Saccharomyces cerevisiae S288C: one gene and its partners. The gene in region 1 interacts genetically with each later gene. Each region holds a gene or a part of one and is shown in the gene's direction. Other genes may lie near its edges. The genes, in order: YKR041W, PMP3, COX23 and WHI2.

Evidence for each region.
Region 2: mutations in YKR041W (region 1) and PMP3 together harm fitness more than expected from each alone (negative genetic interaction), as found in Saccharomyces cerevisiae (2 studies listed by BioGRID).
Region 3: mutations in YKR041W (region 1) and COX23 together harm fitness more than expected from each alone (negative genetic interaction), as found in Saccharomyces cerevisiae (2 studies listed by BioGRID).
Region 4: mutations in YKR041W (region 1) and WHI2 together harm fitness more than expected from each alone (negative genetic interaction), as found in Saccharomyces cerevisiae (2 studies listed by BioGRID).

What each region holds. Positions count from the first base shown.
Region 1 is NC_001143.9:516,557-519,450, forward strand, and holds YKR041W (uncharacterized protein), read left to right. Parts: upstream 1-1,641; coding exon 1,642-2,394; downstream 2,395-2,894. Other genes in the region: amino acid permease GAP1, read left to right, coding at 1-315.
Region 2 is NC_001136.10:1,012,941-1,015,240, reverse strand, and holds PMP3 (Pmp3p), read left to right. Parts: upstream 1-1,597; coding exon 1,598-1,765; downstream 1,766-2,300. Other genes in the region: MTH1 (Mth1p), read left to right, coding at 1-840; triglyceride-associated lipolysis regulator TLD1, read right to left, coding at 2,282-2,300. UniProt on the Saccharomyces cerevisiae protein: Plays a role in the regulation of membrane potential. Could mediate a proton leak.
Region 3 is NC_001140.6:339,772-342,725, forward strand, and holds COX23 (Cox23p), read left to right. Parts: upstream 1-1,893; coding exon 1,894-2,349; downstream 2,350-2,954. Other genes in the region: BZZ1 (Bzz1p), read left to right, coding at 1-213; ubiquitin-conjugating protein DMA1, read right to left, coding at 338-1,588; protein channel TOM71, read left to right, coding at 2,578-2,954. UniProt on the Saccharomyces cerevisiae protein: Required for the assembly of cytochrome c oxidase.
Region 4 is NC_001147.6:409,023-412,935, forward strand, and holds WHI2 (Whi2p), read left to right. Parts: upstream 1-1,847; coding exon 1,848-3,308; downstream 3,309-3,913. Other genes in the region: ubiquitin-binding protein CUE5, read left to right, coding at 1-638. UniProt on the Saccharomyces cerevisiae protein: Plays a role in the coordination of growth and proliferation. Required for entry into G0 phase under conditions of carbon limitation.

The sequences.
Region 1 (2,894 bases):
TCCTACTGGGGGTTATTTATGGTTATTATTATGTTCATTGCCCAATTCTACGTTGCTGTATTCCCCGTGGGAGATTCTCCAAGTGCGGAAGGTTTCTTCGAAGCTTATCTATCCTTCCCACTTGTTATGGTTATGTACATCGGACACAAGATCTATAAGAGGAATTGGAAGCTTTTCATCCCAGCAGAAAAGATGGACATTGATACGGGTAGAAGAGAAGTCGATTTAGATTTGTTGAAACAAGAAATTGCAGAAGAAAAGGCAATTATGGCCACAAAGCCAAGATGGTATAGAATCTGGAATTTCTGGTGTTAATGAATCGAACAACGACAAAAAAAGACTTTATTTTTTAGATAATCATAATAAATATATTTATTTTCTCGTCATTAATCTAAAGAAAAAAGGGAAATGTTTATAGTCAAAAATTGTATATTTCCGTGCACTAATAAGATAAATTATACTATGAAAGAAAGTAAGGTATTTCTATTTTTTTACTTTTTGTTATTTTATTTATGTTTTTCTAGGAAATGTAAAAATAAATCTTTTAGTAGACAGCGAGATGAAAACTAATCTGTGTGAGCTTCAATCAATCAATATGATTTCCCCGCATTTTGTTTGATATTTTAATTGATTCCGATTAAATCCGCTGGTAGCAGTTTTGTTTCAAACTAATTCAGCCTCCTTACTCCCCATTTCCTTATTGAACTTTGGGGATTCGGAGTTCCTTTTTTTTTCCGCCACTCCGATAACTAAACTTTGCAGTTTCACTGCTTGTTAAACATTTTCCTACTATAAATGACATTTAAAACGTAATTGAGACAAAAAAAGTTAAATCGTTATTAACTTTCACTGCGGCTCCGCTCTTTTCCTCATAAGGAAATCCCCTCTTATGATCTTGAGAAATGGGGGAATGTTGAGATAATTGTTGGGATTCCATTGTTGATAAAGGCTATAATATTAGGTATACAGAATATACTAGAAGTTCTCCTCAAGGATATAGGAATCCTCAAAATGGAATCTATATTTCTACATACTAATATTACGATTATTCCTCATTCCGTTTTATATGTTTCATTATCCTATTACATTATCAATCCTTGCACTTCAGCTTCCTCTAACTTCGATGACAGCTTCTCATAACTTATGTCATCATCTTAACACCGTATATGATAATATATTGATAATATAACTATTAGTTGATAGACGATAGTGGATTTTTATTCCAACAGATCTTGATATAAGCCCTGTCATTGATTGCAAATGCACAAATTCCGGAGATTGAACAGCCAACACAAAGATAGTATTTGGGACTTAGCGGGTTGAGAACGGTAATTATATCATGAATACTCCACTCCAAGCTTGTTTGATACATCACATTCTTGTAAAAATATATGATCCAATTCCTAGGACATCAGAAAATATATCTACTATGGGCGTGTGGCGTAGTCGGTAGCGCGCTCCCTTAGCATGGGAGAGGTCTCCGGTTCGATTCCGGACTCGTCCATTTTAAAATTTCTTTTTTTTTTTTTCTCTTTCCGTATGTAAGCTTTTTTCCTTTTTTTTTTTTTTTTTTTTTTTTTTTTCTTCACTACTTTTCAATGAAACTCTCTTCAAAAGACAGCATGCAGTAAAAGCGCCGATATGAGTGACGACGATTATATGAACAGCGATGACGACAACGACGCCGAAAAAAGATACGTAAGGCCAATTTTCGTCAGAAAGCGCAGGAGAGAAGAAGACTACGTTGCAACTAGCAAAGACAACATCCACCACCACCCATGCGATTGGTCCGCGAAACCATCGCAACGTCAAAACGAAAATGAGCAAAAAAGCACCATACGGCTTGTACCAGTGGCGATGAATACGCCGAAGTGTCAAGAGAAAAAAAAGAAAAGAAAGGGCGTTGGTACAACTAGTCATGAGGCTACGCTTTTCGAGTACGGTGAAAGCATAGCAGGCTACAAGTGTGTTACAACCGAGAGCGAAAGAGACCGCTTGAAACGAAGTCATGAAAGCGAAAGCAGCAGTGAAAGCGAGGTAGACGTTTTCGCCTTTGACCAGGCAAAAGGTATCAGCTCTAAGGTTGAAGCCGAAGAACGCTACGCGCGGGCCGTTCGACAGTATTGGCGCATGACCAAAGACGAGCCGGCTACCTTACCACTGCCAGGCACACCTACCCTAGCGGCTGTGAGTTTAGATATGATTGATGACAAAAGCGTAGAACAATTTTACACAATGAGCAGTGCCTTGATGGATGCAAACAGACTAGACTTGATTCGCCGCGATAGAATCCGGTGGCACCCGGACAAACATCGTTATCATAAGTCCAAAGTCACAAAACTGTTTCAGGCCATTAACGGCCTGTGGGAGCAAGAAAAGACCGAGAAAAGGTAATGAAAAAGTGGAACTAGACCCCACGTCAGCGGGCCTAGGCCCTTCAATGTGTTAGAATACACAGCGTGCCTAGTTCCTGGTGCCTGGATCTCGAGGCCGCGGCACTGGAAAAGCCCTTTCTTTTCCAGATCGGGAAACCTAATGAGTCCATAAAAAGAAATGTAGAGGTGGTGTTGACGTTTTGCCGCTTTTGGGCAAGTAGGTCTTTCTGCACGGCCCGGCCCGGGTCGTGCGGAAAAAGAAAAAAGCAGACAAAACAAAATTTTTCCTTTTTTTCGCCTTTGTTTCTCCTGATTCGGGTATATAAGTGAATACCATCTAATGTGTTTCCTTCTCGAGACCTCGGCGTCTCCCAGATCAAAGCTCAGCAAAGATTTTAAACCGCAATTTACGCTCCTTTCATCGGTAACTAAGAAGAAAAAAAAAAAAGTACGACCACACAATTTCCAGTGTATTCATTCCTTAAACTTCGTTTATTTTTTATTCATTCATTCATTTTT
Region 2 (2,300 bases), on another chromosome or scaffold:
AAGTTAATCACGAGAGTGAGCCTGGATGAAGCATTACCCAAAACGTTTTATGACATGTATTCGCCAGATATTCTATTAGCAGACCCATCCAACATTCTCTGTAACGGGCGTCCCAAGTTTACCAAGAGAGAGTTATTGGATTGGGATTTAAACGATATAAGATCGTTATTGATAGTCGAGAAGTTAAGGCCCGAATGGGGTAATCAACTACCGGAAGTAATAACGGTGGGTGATAATATGCCCCAGTTTAGGTTACAATTATTACCACTATATTCTAGCGATGAGACCATAATCGCAACGTTAGTCCATTCGGATCTGTACATGGAGGCTAACTTAGATTATGAATTCAAACTAACCAGCGCCAAATATACAGTAGCGACCGCTAGAAAAAGACATGAGCATATAACTGGTAGAAATGAAGCCGTCATGAATTTGTCGAAACCGGAATGGAGAAATATCATCGAAAATTACCTCTTAAATATAGCAGTAGAGGCACAATGCAGGTTTGATTTCAAACAAAGATGCTCCGAATATAAGAAATGGAAGTTACAACAGTCCAACTTAAAAAGACCGGACATGCCCCCACCAAGCATAATACCGCGGAAAAACAGCACAGAAACAAAATCGCTTCTGAAAAAGGCTTTATTGAAGAACATTCAGTTGAAAAACCCCAATAATAACCTTGATGAATTGATGATGAGATCAAGCGCCGCAACAAATCAACAGGGAAAAAACAAAGTCAGCTTATCTAAAGAAGAAAAGGCTACGATATGGTCGCAATGTCAGGCACAAGTTTACCAAAGATTAGGATTGGATTGGCAGCCGGATTCAGTATCCTGAAGATACTAAAAAGAAACCTTCCCGATGGTTTTTTTGGAGACTCTTCGATTGTATCAATACTATCCCATGGACATCAGTTTTAATAGAGGAGCTCCAAATTCCCAAGGAATTGAGGAAGAAGCGCCAATGATTTATATATACAAACTAGCTGTTGCAGCTTTATAGAGATTTAGTAATAAGAATTTTATGGGAACGTGGTACCGTTATCGCAGTAAAGAGTCAAGGGTAGCGAAGATCAAACCATACGATGACGAAATACCTTTAGTTCTTAGCATCACCAATCGCAGACATCCAACGTATCCGTGCGCGTAATCCTTCTCTTGGTAGTTGAGCACAGCATACAGAAGAAGCCGCGCGCAAGCGGTAAATGTCTTTCCTCCGGCCTTCTAACCACCAAAACCGATCTCGGAACATGGGGGGGGGAAGGTCCTCTGAATCGAAAAACCCGAGACAGCGAGAGGGATTTTGCAGAAAATTACAAAGATCACTATTTACTGCTCCCCTCACTTCCGCAGTCCCCTAATAGCGGAAGATGCAATGGGTGTGGGCTCTGGGTGCCCTTTAACCACGCCCTCAAAAGGGGGTCCTGGTTATTTTGCGATGGGCGCCTCTATAAATACAAAAGAGGAAGTGAGTGTTTTTGTTTTGGAAGAGGGAAAGGAAAAAAAGAAGAAAATTTACTATCGGTTGTTGTTTTTCGCCAGTATAATACAATTGATTATACATTTTGAACTAAACAGCACAGCACAATACAACAATGGATTCTGCCAAGATCATTAACATTATATTATCCCTTTTCTTACCACCAGTCGCCGTTTTTCTAGCCCGTGGGTGGGGTACTGACTGTATAGTGGATATCATTTTGACCATTTTGGCTTGGTTCCCAGGTATGCTATATGCCTTGTACATTGTCCTACAAGATTAAGCTCATTCAATAAACGAAAGTAACTATCAAATGAAATAAGGAAGCAGTATTAGGAAACGGTATCAACATGTTCGGGTCACCCTCATTTTTATTTGTTTCCTTTCTTTTTTTTTGTTTCTCTTTCTCTTAAGGTTTCCTCCCCCGCTGTTAATTTTAACTACGTGTGTATTTTTTAATAATTAATTTTATCACAAAAAAAACTTCTCATCTTTTTTGCCTTTTATCATTTTTGTACTTTTTTCTTCGCTTAAAATACACATGATATAGACGCTTAACTATCTGTCCTGCAAGTTTGTTTATCTATATAAATATAGCCAGTATCATCCGTTTACCTGTGTTGTAGAGTTCCAAAAGATAGAACAGCCTTTTATCAGATGGGTGGCAGACCCTTACCCATATTATCTCTCTTATTTTGTTTTTATTTCTCTCTAGCCTTATAATTATTTTTAGTTTCCTTTCTGTAGCAATAAGTGTTCTTAGCAGTGGCGTTGCGTTGCCTTGACCTTGATTATCAATTTAAGCAGCTTTCTGCTCA
Region 3 (2,954 bases), on another chromosome or scaffold:
GGCCCTGCACCAGAAGTACCACCACCAAGAAGGAGTACACTACCTGTTAGGACGATGGAGGCCATATATGCCTACGAAGCACAGGGAGATGATGAGATTTCAATTGATCCGGGGGACATAATTACTGTTATCAGAGGCGATGACGGTAGCGGGTGGACATATGGTGAATGTGACGGATTGAAAGGTCTATTTCCTACAAGTTACTGTAAATGAACGAAGGAATGAACTGAAACTATTAAATATTTTCCCTGGCCGCCACTTTTTTGAGAGGTATGACGACTCTATGTTATATATATATATATATATATATATATATATAGCACAAAATTTCATGTGATCAATCTACTAGGCGAACACCTAAATTGTTATTTATTTCCATGTCTATATCCATTTCAATGTCTGGCTCATCTTCGTCCTCGTTTTCGAATTCGGATTCAGATTCGGATTCCAAGGTAGTCTCCAAATCACAGTTTGTCCTACAGTTCGGACACATGAATTGAGGATAATTCATAATAACCAATCTTCTTACACAATGAAAATGCCAACTATGGGCACATGGTGATATAAAAATGGCTTGGCAAGGTTTTATTTTGTTTAGACAAATGGAACAGTCTTCTTGTTCTAAACCAGTAGTTAGTTTCTGTAGATTTTTTATTCGGCTCAAGGCTTCTTTATTAAATGCATTGGCCTTTAATTTCCAAGACTTGTTCAATTCTATTTTCATCTTAACACAACGATATATCTCTTCCGTCCCGCCGCGAAAGTCCATACCCAGCTGTATGATATCTCCGTCATGTAAAAGGTAGTCCTTAGAAGTGGTAGACGCAGAAGATAGACGCTGGTGGTTCAAAAAGGTCCCACTGGAAGACTTGACATCTTTCAAAAACCAGTTTCCTTGGTCATCAACTTTGAAACACCCATGGGTCCTGGATATCACTTTTGATTTGAACACTACGGGATGATACTGATCTGGAATTTTGGAAATTGCCTCTCTTACTCTTTCGGTGTATCTTCCGATGATAATTTGCGAGCCTGCGCCCGCAGTCCTGATAATGGGGTCAAAGAAAAGACCCTGGTTAGCCACAGACGTGGATGAAGTATCTATAAACGGGGTTAGCCTAATGCTGAAAAGCCCGTGCTTGTCCATTCTGCGTTTCAAAGTAGATTGGTCTATCCGTTCCGGTAGCGAGGTATTTGGTGGGAGATGTATATCAAGTGAAAACTCCGTCTGATTGACTTGGTTTGGAGGATATATGAAATGGCGGATACTCTTTGTAGTGTTCACCGCGGGGGCTGTATTCGTCTCCACAGTGGCAGCAGCAGCAGCAGTAGCACCAACATTGCCGTTTGCGCTACCGTTATTTGCAACGACTAAAGAAGTAGCCGTACGCGAGGGCAAAATACCTAAACCATTGCTAACGCTATTATTATTGCTGTTATTGTTAGGCGTATCGTTAATGGTGAGAGAGATGGATATCGGTAGTCTGATGGGATTGTTGAACTTGGTGTGATCGTGAGAGGTAGCGATGCCAGAAGCAGCAGGTGGCGTCTGGTTTGGGGGAGATGAGGGAACAGTATTAGTAGACATCCAGGAATAACCACTATACAGAACGTATGTGCACAGGAAATCGACACTGTAAGAAGAAAAGCTCACGGCACAAGAGTCAGAAACAGGGCAGTGAACAAAGAACGAGAAGTACGGTTTACAGTTGAGCCGTACACCGAGTTCCTCTTTGAATAATATCGAACCTATACACTAATGCACTAATGTGTTTCTGTTCACACCCAGAATTCTAAGGCTCCTGCTGATCCCAATGCTAAGGTTTATCAATTTTCTCATTCTCTTTGTGGGCCGTAAACAGTGATATTCTCTCACGAGAGCGCTTAAAGAGAATGGAGAAGCCCAGCCCCACCAGGCGGCAAACTAGTAGTCTCTCCACTATCTCCAACGGTATGACCATGACCAACGATAATAGGGATACCACAAATACCAACAGTGGCTCTACAAGCAGCAACAATTCACAACCATCTTCGTCTTCCACGCCACCAGCGGCCAGTGGACCCGTAACGGACAGAACCAAAGTCAACTATGTACCAAAGAGCGACGATCCGTCGTCATTTCAATACTACCCAGACGACCCGGAGAACCCGGTCAATAAGTATAAATTCGCGTTAAAGGCTGACAGTCAGTACTATGATCCTTGTGAGGAGTCCTCCAAGCTCAGTTTTCAGTGCCTCGAGCGCAACGATTACGACCGATCCAAGTGCCAAGAATATTTTGACGCATACCGCGAATGCAAGAAACAATGGCTGACAGCCAGGAGGAAAAACAGACAGCAGTGGGAATGAGGCAGCCTTTTCTTCTTGTTTGTTCAGCTGTGATCTGTTTTCTATATAGATCGCCACTACGCGACGTAGTGTTCCGACAGGCAGCCACAGCACACTCTAGTGCAATGTGAAAAACTAATTCGCAATGGTATGTAAATAAGCAAGCTAAATTGGATTTTCAAAGTGCGAATAAAGAATTTTTTGTATATATCTCTACATACTTGTATATACCGAACATAAGAAGCTCTTATGGCCGAAAACTCCCTCCTGAGGTTTATCACCAAGAACAAAGTGGCCATCCTAGCAACGGTCTCTGCGGGGACTGCTGCTGTGGGTGCTTATGTTTACTACCAGCAAATTAAGCAGCAGCAACAGCAGCAATTGAAGGGTACAAAAGACAACCGACGTCAAAGTGAGGCCTTTGCTGGTCAAAATGAAGACGAGGCGGACTTAAAGGACGACGGCAGCGTCGTAAGTGGAAGTAATAAGAGGAAGAAGAAGAAGAATAAACGCAAGAGGAACAATAAGGCAAAATCGGGAGAAGGGTTTGACTATCCCTCCTTGCCCAATGGCGAGCCTGATATTGCCCAATTGAAAGGCCTATCACCCTCCCAGAGACAAGCGTA
Region 4 (3,913 bases), on another chromosome or scaffold:
TGCATGAACAGCGCAGAAGACGTCATAATCCGAACGAAAGGGAGCAACATCACGAAGACAGTGAGGAAGAAGATTCGTGGTCGCAATTTGTAGAAAAGGACCTGCCAGAGCTTACGGACAGAGCCGGTCGGTCATTACAGGACACAGCAAACAAAGTTAGTAACTGGATAAGTGATGCTTACCGGAGAAACTTTGCGTCAGGTAATGAGCAAAACGACAACCAACATGGTCACCAAGATCAGCAAGAATGGGAGCCAGAGATTGTGGATTTGTCACAAGGCGGGAAAAATTCAAGACCCCAGCAACCTGAGAGAAGAAGATTCAATTCGTTTGGCGTTCAAGTCGGTGATGACTCTTTAGAAAGCCACGGAATCACACTACACAACGAAGATGGATTTGAAGATGATGAAGATGTGCCACCTCAGTTACCAACGAGAACAAAATCTGGTGAGTCGACTGGAAAAGTAGTGGCAGAGACAACCTACATTGATACTCCAGATACAGAAACGAAGAAGAAATGGCAGCCGCTACCACCGGAACCCCTGGATACTACACCAACTAAAGTAAACGCTGTTTCTAGAAATAAGAAAAATCCGGATGAGGATGAATTCTTAATCAATAGTGACGACGAGATGTAAAGCTGATATCTACGTACATGTGTATACGTGCCAATATTTGGACGCATCTTATTTTACGCGCTTGTGAAGAACTCACTACCTTCTTGAAGGAAGTAAGAAAAAATTTTCAGAATTGTTGATAGTCGTATATCTTCCATTATAACTATTGTTAGCTATTAATTCAGATAATGTAGATAAGATTGAAAACATAAATTCATCATAAAAAAGAATAGGTCTTTTACGGCACCCGTTCAGACACTTTGACACTTCAAAGTATATGCATCAGCACACTTCTGACCATTCTACGTATTGTAACAGCAACATGAGTTCTTTAAAACTCCAATTGACATTTTCGTAATGTGTTTTGCATATCATCTAAATTTCAATGACAGATTTAAAAAGTCAAGTAATTAAAAATTTTCATAAGCGTGCTTTTTTATAGTGCGAAGAACGGCAAAGGCAACCTTAAGAAAAAAAAATGATAGGTTACGTGCTATATCCGGAAAATAAAGAAAGATGAGTAAGAGTTAAAGAAAGAATTCAACCAACCTGATGGGTGTATGAAAATCCCGATTTTATATCGACAGCGCTAGCATGCATGAACAGTGTTTTGACGGTCAAGAAAAAACATAACCTCTGCATAATGTACTTACTTATCAAAACGTTGCAAATCTTGTATGTAAGAGGTGTTTGGGTGTTTTTTCCAAACGACCCGAAGGAGGGCAATTCAAAATAAAAAAAGCAAATTTTATCAGGAAGAGAAGATTTTAGTCAGAACGGGCCATGTTCAATGGCCAATTTCTTATGCTCTAGAGTAATAATTACTAAGGAGGAAAGTAAGACAAAAAACGGTCTATCGTTGTTTTAAGTTTACAGCATAGGCATAGTGATAGAGTGTGAGAGAGTCTCTAACTCGGCGTCAGTTTAGAGTCATTTTTTTCTTTTCTCCCCCCAAAGGTCATAAGAAGATAAGGATCCAAATTTAGAAGACAAAAAAAGTTTTGTTAGAACGTTTATCCCATTAAAAATAAGGGAAAAGAGAAACAACGTTATTTAGTGATTTTTTTAATTGAGAAGCATTTTCTCCAGTGATAATTTAATTGTTTTTTTATTCGGAAAAGAACAGAAAGCGCAAGAAGACAACTCCTTCACACTTAGGCTATTAATTTTCCCGCCTCCCCATTAATTGATAAAGATAAAGGTTGTCTGAGCTTACACTTATTATAAACAATGGACGATATAATCACGCAAGTTTCTCCAGATAATGCAGAGTCCGCTCCGATTCTACAAGAACAGCAACAGCAACAGAACTCACAGTACGAAGGTAACGAGGAGGATTATGGTGATTCATTGATTCATTTGAATATTCAAGAAAACCATTATTTCATTACGAGGGACCAGTTGATGTCTCTACCTGAATCCCTATTACTGTGTTTATTTCCCTCAGGTGTTTTTTTGGACCGTTGTGGTCAGGTCATTACTAATTTGACCAGAGACGATGAGGTCTACATTGTTAATTTCCCTCCTGATTGTTTTGAGTACATCATGGAGATATATACAAAAGCGCATGATGATTTGTATAATCATCCTGTGGAGAAATTTTTTGACAGACCATCAAGTAGCTTTGTTTCGAATGCAAAGGGATTTTTTGGACTGAGTAGCAATAATTCAATTTCGAGCAACAATGAGCAGGATATTTTACATCAAAAGCCCGCTATTATTGTTTTGAGAGAAGACTTGGATTATTATTGTGTACCTCAGGAGGAATTTCAGTTTGATTCCACTAATGAAGAAAATAATGAGGATTTATTGCGACATTTTATGGCTCAAGTGAAAATGGCTGCTGGCAGTTATTTAACTTCAAAAACATCGATTTTCCAAGGTTTGTATTCTTCGAATAGACTAAAGCAACAACAGCAACAACAGAAAATTGAAAAGGGGTCCAATTCTTCTTCAAATACTAAATCTACTTCGAAAAAATTGGGACCTGCTGAACAACATTTAATGGATATGTTGTGCTCCTCCGGATTCACCAAGGAAACTTGTTGGGGTAACAGAACTCAAGAAACTGGCAAAACGGTTATAAGTTCACTGTCTCTTTGCCGATTGGCTAACGAGACAACTGAAGGATTTAGGCAAAAATTTAACGAGGCTAAGGCTAAGTGGGAGGCAGAGCACAAACCTTCTCAAGACAACTTCATCACCCCAATGCAATCTAACATATCGATTAACTCTTTATCTGCAAGTAAATCTAACAGTACCATTTCTACAGCAAGGAATTTAACAAGCGGAAGTACAGCACCTGCTACAGCACGTGATAAGAGAAAATCAAGGCTGTCGAAACTAGCAGATAACGTTCGTTCGCACTCTTCCTCGAGACATAGTTCGCAGACCAGAAGTAAACCTCCGGAGTTGCCCAAATTGTATGATCTAGTGCCAAAACCTAATATCAACGCTAAGCTACTATTATTTTGGAGAAAACCTGCTCGTAAATGTTGGTGGGGTGAAGAAGACATAGAGCTAGAAGTGGAAGTCTTCGGCTCTTGGAAAGATGAATCAAAGAAAATCATTGAATTGATCTTGCCAACAAACGTTGATCCTGAAGCAGAACTACATAAAATCATTGTACCCGTCCGATTACATATTCGTAGAGTTTGGACTTTAGAGTTGAGCGTTATTGGGGTGCAGTGAGTGTATATAATATATTAGAGAAAGAAATGGAAAGAGATCGGGCCAAAGACACAATATGTAACAGTATGGTTTCTTGGTATCCCCTCTTTCTATTCCTCCCTTGTTACGAAATGATGTATATTTGTATCTCTATAACAAAATTATATGAACTGTCTCAAAGCACATGAAGAAGGAAAAAAGGTGGCGTCGAAGACTGCTAGATATTTCTCTTCGTATCTTCCCATCCCCTTCTGCAAATAACGGTTTTTCCATTGTCTATTTCAAAGTTACCCGCATAATAAAGTCGTACATTGTTCGAAAAATATCACTCAAAAGCAGCATTGATCCGGTATAAAACAATAGAAATTTTTTTTTTTTTTTATTGTTATAATTATTCTGACTCACGTCTGGATTTCGTTAGTTCGTCATTTTTTCTTAATTTCAGTAAACTGTGATCACGAGTCTGCAACATCATTATACACCGTATATCTGTATTATTAAGAATCAGGGTCTCCTTTTAATTTGCTGTTGAAAAACATCTTAAGGGAGTGTGATTGTCTGTTGATGTATACTAGTCTGGTAAAGCTAAATATTCTTATAAAAAACTTTTGGTAACCCATTATTAC